Elephas maximus indicus: one gene and its partners. The protein of the gene in region 3 purifies or fractionates together with the protein of the main gene of each other region. This does not show direct contact. Links are inferred from orthologs where the notes say so. Each region holds a gene or a part of one and is shown on either strand. Other genes may lie near its edges. The genes, in order: DDX21, DDX5 and CDK9.

Region 1 (3,744 bases), on a different chromosome or scaffold from region 3:
CTTCACTGGAGTTAGAGGCAGGTCCAGAATGAGGAAGTCCATTCTTCAGTTTGGGCTTTTTCTCTCCAATTTCTCCATTCATTTCCTTTTCTTTCTTTATCTTCTTAGGCTTAGGAGCACCCATTTCTTTTTCAGAAGGCTCCTCATTTTTTATCGCTTTTTTGATTTTAGGAGACCCAACTTGATTTTCAACAGGTTCCTTTTTCTTTTTTACATTTTTGGTTTTAGGAGACATAGCGTCATCTTGAGATTGCTCTTCTTTCTTTTTTACCTTTTTGGATTTGGGAGAATTAATTTCAACTTCAGAAGGCTCTGCTTTCTTTTTCATTTTTTTAGCTTTGGGGGAACTAGTTTCCTCCTTTTCGTCTGCTGACTCTTCAGTCTTATTAGATTTTGGCTTCTCTTTCTTAGCTTTCTAAAAAAATTAACAGAAATTTGAACATTGAACGAAGCTCCTATACATCTGCATAATACATCACTTCTGGATGACTTTAAGATTACTGATAATTATGAAGAATGAAAGTTTCTTTTTGGCATTTCAGTGTTTGTACTTTTCATCTTACAATAAGGCAAAGATCAAACTTAGTATTTTTTTTTAGCACCACTTCTTAGCTATATGAAGCTAAGTATACATCCGTAGTTTCATTAGCTTGGAAAATCAAGAGTGGCTCTTAGTAACTATTCAATTCATGCTGGTCGTACAAGTCTATAAATCAAATGTTCGTAAGAGATTTGGGATGCTCTAACAGCTCTAAACTAAAGCAATCGAGTACATTCAAATGTAACACTGACAGAATAACAGGGTCCTAAAATGCCTATAGATGGATGTTAAGCAGATTTCTTTTCTTTGTACCTACTAGAATTCCTCTACAGGTAAACAGGGATTAATAATATCTGCCTTGCCTATCTATTTCAAGTGCAAATGAACTTACATAAAGATACTTTATGAACCAAAAGGCTGTAAAACCCCACAACTTATCACCCCATGCATAAAAATGATGTGCCTAAATTAAAGTAAAACAAAACATACGAAAACAGCACATGTTACAAATAAGTGGAAGGGATGAAACCCTAAAACCAAACTAGACAGGTAGATATGGCTAACTGAAATTTGACCCTAACCTTTCACATTATTGAAAACTTATTACAGTCAGACTTTGACAGGTGTTGTAGCCTGGCACAGCCTCAGCACTATTATACTGAGTTGATATCTTCCTCCCTTAAACTCCAGGTATGGGTTCCAGGCCTGGCCCCTGTTCTAGAATCACGGATTAGGGGTAACCTCTCTCTCACAAGATGGTACTAGGGGGTGGGAATCTGGTCTCTAAAGGCTTCTTTTCTCCAGTCCTTTCATCCCTTCTTCTCACCAAAAGAGTGGGTTTCCCATCTCAACGAGCCTCTTTTGGAACATAATGGAGTTTGGTCGTGCCCTCCTAATTTGAGCATCCCACACTGAACACACTGACTGAGGCAGAGTAAGCAAACCAGGACCACTAACTCCCCACTGTGAAGAAAAGTTTGTGCTCCCTTGTCTTCCCACAATGCCAAAATGCTGATTCTGTAAGAGCTCCCCATCAAAAAGACTCAGAAACAACTGGGAAAAGGTACTCTAAGTCATGTACAAAATAAGTTCAGGGCCAATCTGCATTCCCACTGACCTTATCTCAGAACAGAAACTCAGGCACAAATTAAATCACTGTGTAGAAATCGACACCAAAAAAGCAGACGCTGTCAAGATAACTAAACACTATTGCACTGCTGGCCTATATTAAAAAATGGTGTACAGTTAGCACCACAGCACGGCTCTTTACATTTCCACGGAAAATCTGATCAATAAATATTAGGAGTAATTAAAATGCCTGGTCTTCAAAGGGCTGCTTCTCAGAAAACAAACTACTTCCCTTAACTACGGCAAAAAAAATTTCACTGCTAACGCTGCCAGCATTTGCCGGTCCTCTAAAGATCCCTCCCCACGTGGTAGATAGGTTTAAGATCTCACAGGTCAGTCCCTACTGCCTGGACTTAATTTACAATTCGCCTTCGAGCACGCTAACACCCGAATTAAGTCTGAACCAACGGGGTCCTGGCGGTGAACTTCCGACTCCGCGCCATCAGATGCGGGAGCCCAGACTCCGGGGACCACGTGCGACACCCAGGCCGCTTTCCAGCTGCGATCTGCCCGGGCCTGGCTGCCAAAACTCCCCAGGACTGGTGGATGCGTCCGAGCTGAAAGGGAGAGTTCGGTGCGCGGCGGAGACGGCTCCATCGGGCGGGCAACACCTTCCCTAGGGGCTCCCTTGCCGAGATGGCTGCCCCGACTCCGGACGCGCCAGGTCCTCGCCGCCCAGCCCGGCCACCTCCCCGGATTCCAGGGCCCCACCGTCCTCAGCGCCCAGCCCCTCGCCCTGTCTTGCTCTGAGTCCCTCAACCCCCCGCGGCACCTTCTCATTTTGCTTTGGCGGTATCTCCAGCTTTCCCATGGTCGTGTCTGATTCCAAAGCGGCGTCACTAAGGAGTTTTCCCGGCATCACTCAGGACAACCTCGATAACCCAACCGGGCTCGTCAGCCGCGTGGAGAGGAAGAGACAGAAGTACCTCTTTAGTCCACCCAGCTTGCGTCACTTCCGGTAGCAAAGCATTTTGGGCGGAAACTGGTCGCACAGCGAGGCTGAGCGGACCACGTGGTAGTTTTATGTCACCAGCCGCAGACATTACCTGGGGTTACTTAGGGAGTTGACCACGTAATGCGGCTGGACGAGGGGCACCTACAAAAGGGTAGAGCTGGGAAGGACCACAAAGGTTAGCTTTGTATTTTCTTTCAAACACTGTTCTCGCCAACCCCAGCCTGATAGATGGAGACTTTTCAGTGCTCTTCTGTATACTAAGATCGCAGAAATTTGTAAAGCCCTTTCACATACAAACGCGCGCGACTGATCATCTCTGAAGACTCCGAATGGTGACGCCGCCACTTAACGAGCCTAGGTAAGCGCCAGAATTTATTCATACGTTCAGTTCACTTAACAAACATCCCCTGAGCATTCACTGTCAGGTGTGCAGAGAAGGGCTAGGATTCAGAAGCAGTTAATACACAAGCCTTGTCCGCGCAGCTTTATAGACTGGTGGAGGAGATAGACAAGGGTTCATTGTTCTGAAGGCACAAGCTTTGGGACCAGTAGAAGGCACCCAAACCACCGGGAAAAAAAAAAAAAAAAAAAGCCATTGCCATCGAGTCGATTCCAACTCATAGCCACCCTATAGGTCAGAGGAGAACTGCACCATAGAGTTTCCAAGGAGCGCCTTTGCTGACCGCGGTAGCCCTCAATTAGAAAATAACAGGGGTCCCCAGTCTTGCGTATCAAACAATATACATATGCAAGCAGTTGAGGAAAAGTGACCCATTGAGTGATCTGTGACTGTTTTAAATTTTCTGAAGAACTAGTGACCCAGAGTATTGGGAGACAATTCATCATATCTGGCATTGAAACCTACCTTTGCCACTATTTGTCTGGGATTTTTGACACCTTACTTAGTTTGAACCTGAGTTTCTCATGCATGGAACAGATAACAAAACCTACCTGATCTGTTGAGAAAATTAAATAAATGGGTTTAGTAGTGCACAGTAAATAAGAGCTATTAAAACAGATGTGTCACAAGTGCTTGGAAAAACAATTTAAAATATTTCATTTTATGGCACAAATAAAGGAAAATGCTGTAACAATTTCTATATTAAATTAGTTTTTACTA
Region 2 (3,744 bases), on a different chromosome or scaffold from region 3:
CAAAACAGCAGAGTTTCCAACTAATCTCTCTACGCGAAACCACCAATTATCTTGTTTTTCTCTATATTCTACAAATTTCTATATCCTCCTTACTATGGAACTTCATGAAGTACATACTTACAATAGGCCCATCACCTCTTTCTAGGAACGGCTGATGATTGATGTGGACGATGGCAGGCAGCAAGTACTGTTGTGGGTGGGGAAAAACAGAGGAAAAAACAGAAGTTTTGTTAAAATACTCCCAGGGTCTTTTAATTCCAAAGCCATTTTCTCTAGCACATACCACAGGGTATGCAAAAGTGCTCTCTCAAAACTTACAGACAACGTTTTCCCGGATCCAGTCTGTGCTACTCCAACCATATCCAATCCACTTAAAGCAACTGGCCATCCCTGAGCTTGAATAGCAGTAGGTTCAGTAAAGTTCTGTCTTGCAATCACATCCATAACATTTGCTGTAAATAGCGACAGCAATTTAACAAAACTCAGTAATGCCAAGACAAAGAAATAGTAAATGTGAAATTCAGAACAAACACTTACCAGGAAAGTTTGCCTCATAAAAATTCAAAACTGGCTTCGGGCAGTTGTGGCCTCTAACTGTAATTTCCTTACTTCTTCTGTATGTCTCCACATCTTGCTGCAAAACAACATTAATCTCGTAAGTCTCCTAACAACCCACCCTAACTAAATATGCAACTAGAAAGCCCCTAAACTTACGATTTGCTACTTTAAAGTGAGTGATTTTAAAATCTAGATTCATGTACAAAAACCGTATTTAAAACACGTAAAAACCACCTATTATCCTAAGATAACTGTTCCAAGGAAAATTCAAAGCCACCTGTTTCCAAAAGTGAATCACACAGCTTTCCCCTATTATCAACTTGGAAGGTATGAATCTCCCCAAATCTAGTCATTTGCAAGACACTTGCACTCAGCTTCTTATTACCAGAAGCCGTTACTGGGTTCCATAGCCTGATGAAGCCATATGAAATTACTCACCGCTGTGCGCCTAGCCAAATCAGGGTGTTCTTGGTAAAAATTCTTCTCAAATTTGGGCAGTTCGTCAAGATTCCACTTCTTTTTAACTAGCTTCTCCCCAGGATTTCCAAACTTCTTTCCAGACAGGGGCCCTGCCCTGCTTCCTCCAAATCGAGGTGCCCCAAACCTGAAATTACAGAATAATTCAGACTTCCAATCTCTACCTATGGGCTGAAAGACTTATTTACCATCTCTTAGCACCTGCTAAAGCTCACTCAAATCAGACTTAAGGAACACAAAGCCTAAAACTACACTTAGCTGTCATTCAACAATCAGGGTTACCATTGTGTATCTCAGTTGCTATCATCTCAAATACACATAATTAAGAACACTAAACAGCCCCCAACTTATTATGTCAGAAACTGGCTACCAAAATGCTGGAAGTTCCGATTAGATGGATAGACAATAGCTTGTAACTATGGTGGTTCCCACCAGTTTAGAAATTAAACATCCAGGAAACGAAATGATACAAAAAAGGACAAGCCCAAGACAAATGTTATTTATACCCCTATTTTTTAACTTTGGTTTTAACAATCGATAACACAGAGACATAATAAAAAGAAAACAACGGGGACGGTGCCTCGGGGACCCTTATGCAAGGGAATCGAGTTGGGGGTTGGGGGTGTCCCTTGGGAAAGCTCCCCATCAAGGTAGGTAAATTATATAACACAAGGAAAAAAAGGAGGAGGAGCCGGCGACTACCGGGGGAGGAGTCCCGCCCGGGCGGAGTCGGTCGGGCGGCGTTCCCGCTGGGGCGGCGCTTTCCCCTTTGTCTCGCATTTCTCTCTGCGCCACATTTTCTCGACGCTGCCATTTTGAGCTCCTCCGCCGGGCGGGGTAACAAAGGCGCCGCCGCCATGTCGGAGGCCGGCATTTTGTACCCGCGGCGCAGCCACATGGGCGAATCCGGCGGCGCCAGCCACCCTCCTGCCTTCACCGCCTCAATGGCTGCGGAAGCGGGCCCCTCGCTTCCACAGAATTCCCTGAACCCCTAAAACACCTCCCGGAAGGGTGCATCTAACCGAGGCTACTTGATCCACCCCGAGGCATCCCGTTTTCCTCCCCCTCGCGATACACGCCTCCGAATTCTCCCAACTGCAAAATCGCCGAGGGCGCGCCGCCCCCGCTCCAGGGGCGGGGGAGAAAAAAAAGGCAGCTTGAAGGCCGTTAATAAGCAAGTCCTCCCTAACCGGTTTTAGAAAACTACCACAACGGCGCAAACCCTTAACTAAGAAGACCTCGGCGTAGGCCGAAAAAGCCGATGTGCCGATGGCGGCGCCCCCGCCACCCACTTCCCGCCCATCCCCCACTCGTCGGGCCTGACAGGTCGGTTCCCATACTCACCCTCGGTCCCGGCCGCGGTCTCGGTCACTCGAATAACCTGACATGGCGTCAATGGTTGCGGTTGGTGGGGAACGAAGCGAAAAAAGCCGGTGCGGAGAGTCTCTTAGGGGTGGCTTCGGCGACGGCGAACCCTTGCGTGGGCGTCAGCGGCGGAGAGACGGCGACAGCAAGACCTAGAGCTGAATAACGAAAGGCCGATGGAAATGAATGAGGTGCCGGCCGCCTCCCGGCAGCCGGTTTTATAGTCTGGACCGCCTCCTCCACCGCAAAGGATGCTGGGAACCGCTCTATGACCTAATCGCCCCGCCCCCTGCGCAGAGGCCGCAACGCCCGCCTGCGTTCCGGAATCCGCCATGTTCTCACCCCTCCCCCTCCGAGTCCATCCATTGGGGCCATACGTTTTTCTCCCCTTTCATATTTGGACCCGTCCGCCACTGAAATGCCCCATCCTGTATTTCCTTAAAACTTCGCCTTTTTCTCCTCTTTACACACCTTAAGCAATCCACCTCAACCTTTTCCAGGTCCAACCCAGAAAATCAAGCGTCCACTACAGGACAACCTACTCTCCCCACCTGGAAATGTTTACGTCTCCAAACAGCCCTCACGCCCAAAACCAAACAAGGGAAGGCGGGGCTTGATCTTATCACGTGACTGGCTTCCCCGCCCACCGGGTGAATTGCCGCACTACTTCCCAGTCAGCGGAGGAATACACAATCAAATAACTCACCGGAAGTGTCGTTGTAATTCCCCCGGTGACCGGTCAAGGCGGGTGGGTGACCTAACCTGTCAAACTCACCGACTTAAGAACCTCTTGGCAGGCTCTTGCCCGCGGAGAATGTTATCTAGATCCCGCAAACCGCCGCCGAGGCACGTGCGGTGAAAGCGAGTGCTCCTCCAATGACCAATCAGCAGCGAGAAGCCGTTTTAACGTCCCTCCCTCTTTTACACCTCTTTATCCACACTTCCCTCTCGTTTTTGTGTGTCTGTGCTGTGCGGCCCTTCCAGGACACCGTCTCCCACGCGCCCGGCTGGGAGCCCGGCGACGACCTGCTTCCGCGACATGGCCGGCTCAGAGCCTGGTGAGTCTCGCCCTGGCGCCGTGCTGTGTGTGGAGTGAAGCGGTCCGACTCCCCGAACGCCCCAGGCCACTTTGAGGCCTCGGGCCGGGCCGAACCTAAGTCTAGGCTGCCTGCGAGATTCATGATTGTCACATATCCCGTCGCAGTCTGCGGGTGCCAGAGATAAGAGTCCCAGCACCGCTCTCTGCTTCGTGACGGTGGAACAGCGATTTGGGGTGGGGGAGAGAGGGCTCTTTGACGAAGCCGCCAACACACCCGCATGCAGATCGCAAAAACAGCAGTCAGA
Region 3 (3,744 bases):
AATAGCTCCGGGGGCCGGTACCAGAGCGTCACCACACGGTTGGTGTAGCGGTTGGGCTGGCTGTTCTTGGCCAGGCTGAAGGCCCGGGCCAGCCCAAAATCTGCCAGCTTCAGGACCCCATCACGGGTGATGAGCACATTAGCTGCTTTCATGTCCCTGTGCAGGATCTGCAGGAAAGACAGGAGTGCAGGCTCAGCCAGGCTCCCCTGGATCCTCTGGCCACAACCATCCCACAGTGGGAGCAAAGGCCTTAGTCTCTCTCTCCTCCGCCGGCCCCTACCTTGTTTCTGTGGATGTAGTACAGGCCATTGAGCAGCATCTGCATGACCTTCTTGATCTCAGACAGTGTGAACTTGACTAAGACATTACTCAGCAGCCCAGCAAGGTCATGCTCGCAGAAGTCAAACACAAGGTATATACTGCCCTTGCAACGGTTATAGGGAGATGCTGAGATGGAAAGAATTGGGGTGAAGGACAGGAAGAAGAGTCAAAAATCCCATATGCAACCCATTTCCCCATAACCAGCTCCTACTCCCTCTAATCCATGGACCACCCATGTCCTCCAGAGCATCCATTTATTCATTCCTTCGCTGGCAAAATATATGTTGAGTGCTTCCCTGGGCCAGGTGGTGTGGTAGGCCCTGGGGAAGAACCAGCTACGACGAGAGAGAACCAAAGAAAGCAATCACCACTGCCTAAGAAGAAGCATTTTAAGGCCCTCCAGTTCTAACTTTACAAACAAAACCTTAGGCTATAAGCCCCACTTTCTCCATCTAAAAACGAAGGATGAGATCCAAACATACCTTTGGTTCGACAGATCTCAATCAAGTTGACCACATTCTCATGTTTCAGAAGTTGGAGAATCTTGATTTCCCGTAGGGCTGTGATGGGAAACTGGGGGGAAAAAAGACGATAAGAGGTCAAAAGTGAGTCAGAGAGCTGCGGGCCAAGGAACTGGTCCTGGGGTCTCTACTAAGGCATACAGATTGAAAGACAGAGTTAAGAACATGGGCTCTGATATAAGCTCACTCAGATCCCTTATCTGTAAAAGGGGTATGATAATAGCATGCACACCTCAAAGAGCTGGTTTGAGACAATGAACTTAATACCCTTATTTTACACAAATTCTTTACTATTCATCACTATATACGCTATTGTCTCCTGCTATTTTCATGTGTTAGCTCTATGCCTGTGTTTAACTTGCTCTGTGGTCACAAAAATAACCTTAAAACATCTTTGATGAGAACTTGGTTTCTGGGGAGTGGGATGAGAGCTAAGATTGGGTGGGATGCTCCTTTCCAACACACTTCTTTGAATATTACTCACTTTTTAAAGCCATATGCATACATTTTTTACATTAAACAAAATCATATACTAAAGAAAACAATTTTTAAAGCTTCTAAACTCTGAACCAAAGTGCATGCAGTGCAAGCATGAGCTCCCCCTCCTGGACTCAGCCCTACTTAAACAAATGTTTAAGATATTTTAATTAAAAGACTTAATTTCGAGGCCAAATTCCCTGAAATGTGCCAATTTCCGAAACTACTAACAAAAATTCAACCTCAGCAGGAGACTCCTGGAAAAAGCAGGCTGGAAACCCAAACCCGCTGCTCTGTGATGCTGGCGGGCCGCACTTACCCCCTCCTTCTCGTTCTCCATCAGCACCTTCTTCAGGGCCACCTTCTGGCCGGTCTTGCGATGCTTGGCCTTAAACACCTCCCTGCAGGCCGAGAGGGGACACTGAGGGCTGATGAGGCAGTTTCCGCAGGGCTCGCCCCTCCCCCACGAGAGGAAGTGTGGCAGGGACAGGGAGACTCCCGGGCGGGGCTCGGCCGGGCACCCGGCACTCGGCCACCTCACCGGCCTGGGTCTCCGGCCCCTTGCCGGGCCTCCGCTTCCCTCCCTCAGTCCCCCCTCTTTACCCAAGCGCCTTCCGGAGGTCCCGCTTTCCTCCCCAGTTCCTCTCTGCAACCCCTCGCCGTCCCACACCCCAGGCCTCAGGCTCCTCCCCGCCAGCCGGCCCCGTCAGGCCCCGGCGGGATGCGGCCCGGCCTTGCGAGACCAGGGGGCATGCCCGGGACTCAGCGGCTTCCCAGCCAACTCAGGCCCAGCTCCCGACGCTCCCACGTCGGCCCTGGGGAGTGCTGGCCCCGGGGCCCCAGTCCCTCGGGGCCCAGTCTTACCCAAAGGTGCCTTGGCCGATTTTGGCGAGCTTCTCATATTTGGACACCTCATCACAAAAGGGGCACTCCACTGAGTCGTACTGCTTTGCCATGGCCGCCTCCAGCGCGCCGCCACCACCTCCAGCCACCGCCGCCGCTCCCACTCCTGGACCTGCTGCTGTGCTCCAGGCCCCTCCGCGGCCGCGCCACTTCCGCCTCCACGGCCACTTCCGGCCTCGCGGCACAGACCCCGCCTCTTCCGCCCGCCGCCCGCCGCCGGGCCCCCTGGGACTTGTAGTTCCCGGGAGGCTAGAGGGAGCTGGAGCTGCAGAGGCGCCGCCGCCGCCGCCGCCGCCGCTGCCCCCGCCGCCGCCGCCGCCGCCGCCGCCACTGCCGGCAACGGCCCCGATCGGGGGCGCGGGGAGCCGGGGCGCCGAAGCTGGGGCTCTGAGCGGTGCGTCCCGCTGCATTGGCCCGGGCCGCTGCTGCTGCCGAAGCTGCTTGCCGCTCTGGCGCCCGATCCGGGGCCAGCCGCAGTGCCCTGCTCCTCCTCCTCCGACGGCACCGCCTCCGCCGGGCTGCGCGGGGCGGCGAGCGGAGGGGCGGTCCCCGAGCCGCGGCCTGGGGGATCCCTGGCCGGGCCCCGGCTCGGGGCGTCCGGGTTAGGGGGCGAGGCAGAAAGAGCCGACGAGGAGGCGGCCCGAGAGCCCCGAAGGGGGCGCGTTATAAAGGGGGAGGTGCCCTGGCCTCGCCCTCCCTTCTCCCTCTACCCGCCCCCTCCCTCCCACCCTCCGCGGCCGCACCTGCCGCCGCCGCCGCTGTCGCCGCCCGCCCGCCCGCCCGCCCGCTGTCCGCCGGCCGCCCTCGGCGCGTCACCGCCTGCGGCCCCTCCCCCGCTTTCGGAGGTGGGGCTCCGCGCCCGACACCTGGCTGCGAGGCGGCCCACCGCGTGCCTCAGTTTACCACCCCGGCAGGCTGTGACGGGGAGCCCCTTCTTTCACGGCTCGGAGTTACCCGCCAGAGGCGAAGGCGGGAGGCGCCAAGGGAGCGGCCTCCGGCCCTGGGAGGAGTGAACGGCCCCCGCCACCGCCCCCCCGGCCCCCGCCACCCGTCGTTGACATGGCAACCGACGGCCGCCAGGGGGCGCGGCGACACTGGAGGCGGCGAGCTAGCAACGCCCCGGCCTCGGGCCCTGTACCCCTGGTTCTCTGGGAGGCAGGAATAAGAATCACAGCGCCCCCACCCCATCCGTGCTGCGCCAGAGCCGGTTGGGCCCATGAAAATAGCTAACATTTACTGAGGACCCCCGTGTGCTCAAGAAGTGCTGGGCGCTCACGCTGAATCCTGGCAACAACCCCCGCAGTCAGGATCACTAACCCATTTTACAGAGAAGGACTCTGAGGCTCAGAGAGATGAGGTCATTTGCCCAAGGTCACACAGTGGCAAAGCTGGAACTTGGTCTCTCTGAACCTGCACGAGGATTCTTTTGACTCTGGCTATTTACAGTATGCTCAGGAGGATAGCAGTGGTGCTACCTGAGGTATGCTGTCCTCCTGCCAGGCACTAAGCTTCCCACTCACCA

What was found.
Region 1: the proteins of CDK9 (region 3) and DDX21 purify together in Homo sapiens (affinity purification with mass spectrometry; 3 studies listed by BioGRID and IntAct, with this or other methods). This does not show direct contact. The link is inferred for Elephas maximus indicus from reciprocal best matches to the Homo sapiens genes CDK9 and DDX21.
Region 2: the proteins of CDK9 (region 3) and DDX5 purify together in Homo sapiens (affinity purification with western blotting; 3 studies listed by BioGRID, with this or other methods). This does not show direct contact. The link is inferred for Elephas maximus indicus from reciprocal best matches to the Homo sapiens genes CDK9 and DDX5.

What each region holds. Positions count from the first base shown.
Region 1 is NC_064834.1:18,985,600-18,989,343, forward strand, and holds the start of DDX21 (nucleolar RNA helicase 2), read right to left. Parts: upstream 2,612-3,744; 5' UTR 2,529-2,611; coding exon 2,442-2,528; intron 416-2,441; coding exon 1-415.
Region 2 is NC_064837.1:55,714,288-55,718,031, forward strand, and holds the start of DDX5 (probable ATP-dependent RNA helicase DDX5), read right to left. Parts: upstream 2,609-3,744; 5' UTR 2,424-2,608; coding exon 2,380-2,423; intron 1,163-2,379; coding exon 997-1,162; intron 635-996; coding exon 538-634; intron 453-537; coding exon 319-452; intron 188-318; coding exon 122-187; intron 1-121. Other genes in the region: CEP95 (centrosomal protein of 95 kDa), read left to right, coding at 3,440-3,458. UniProt on the Homo sapiens protein: Involved in the alternative regulation of pre-mRNA splicing; its RNA helicase activity is necessary for increasing tau exon 10 inclusion and occurs in a RBM4-dependent manner. Binds to the tau pre-mRNA in the stem-loop region downstream of exon 10.
Region 3 is NC_064827.1:78,876,743-78,880,486, reverse strand, and holds the start of CDK9 (cyclin-dependent kinase 9), read right to left. Parts: upstream 2,497-3,744; 5' UTR 2,276-2,496; coding exon 2,184-2,275; intron 1,721-2,183; coding exon 1,639-1,720; intron 895-1,638; coding exon 804-894; intron 448-803; coding exon 281-447; intron 168-280; coding exon 1-167. UniProt on the Homo sapiens protein: Protein kinase involved in the regulation of transcription.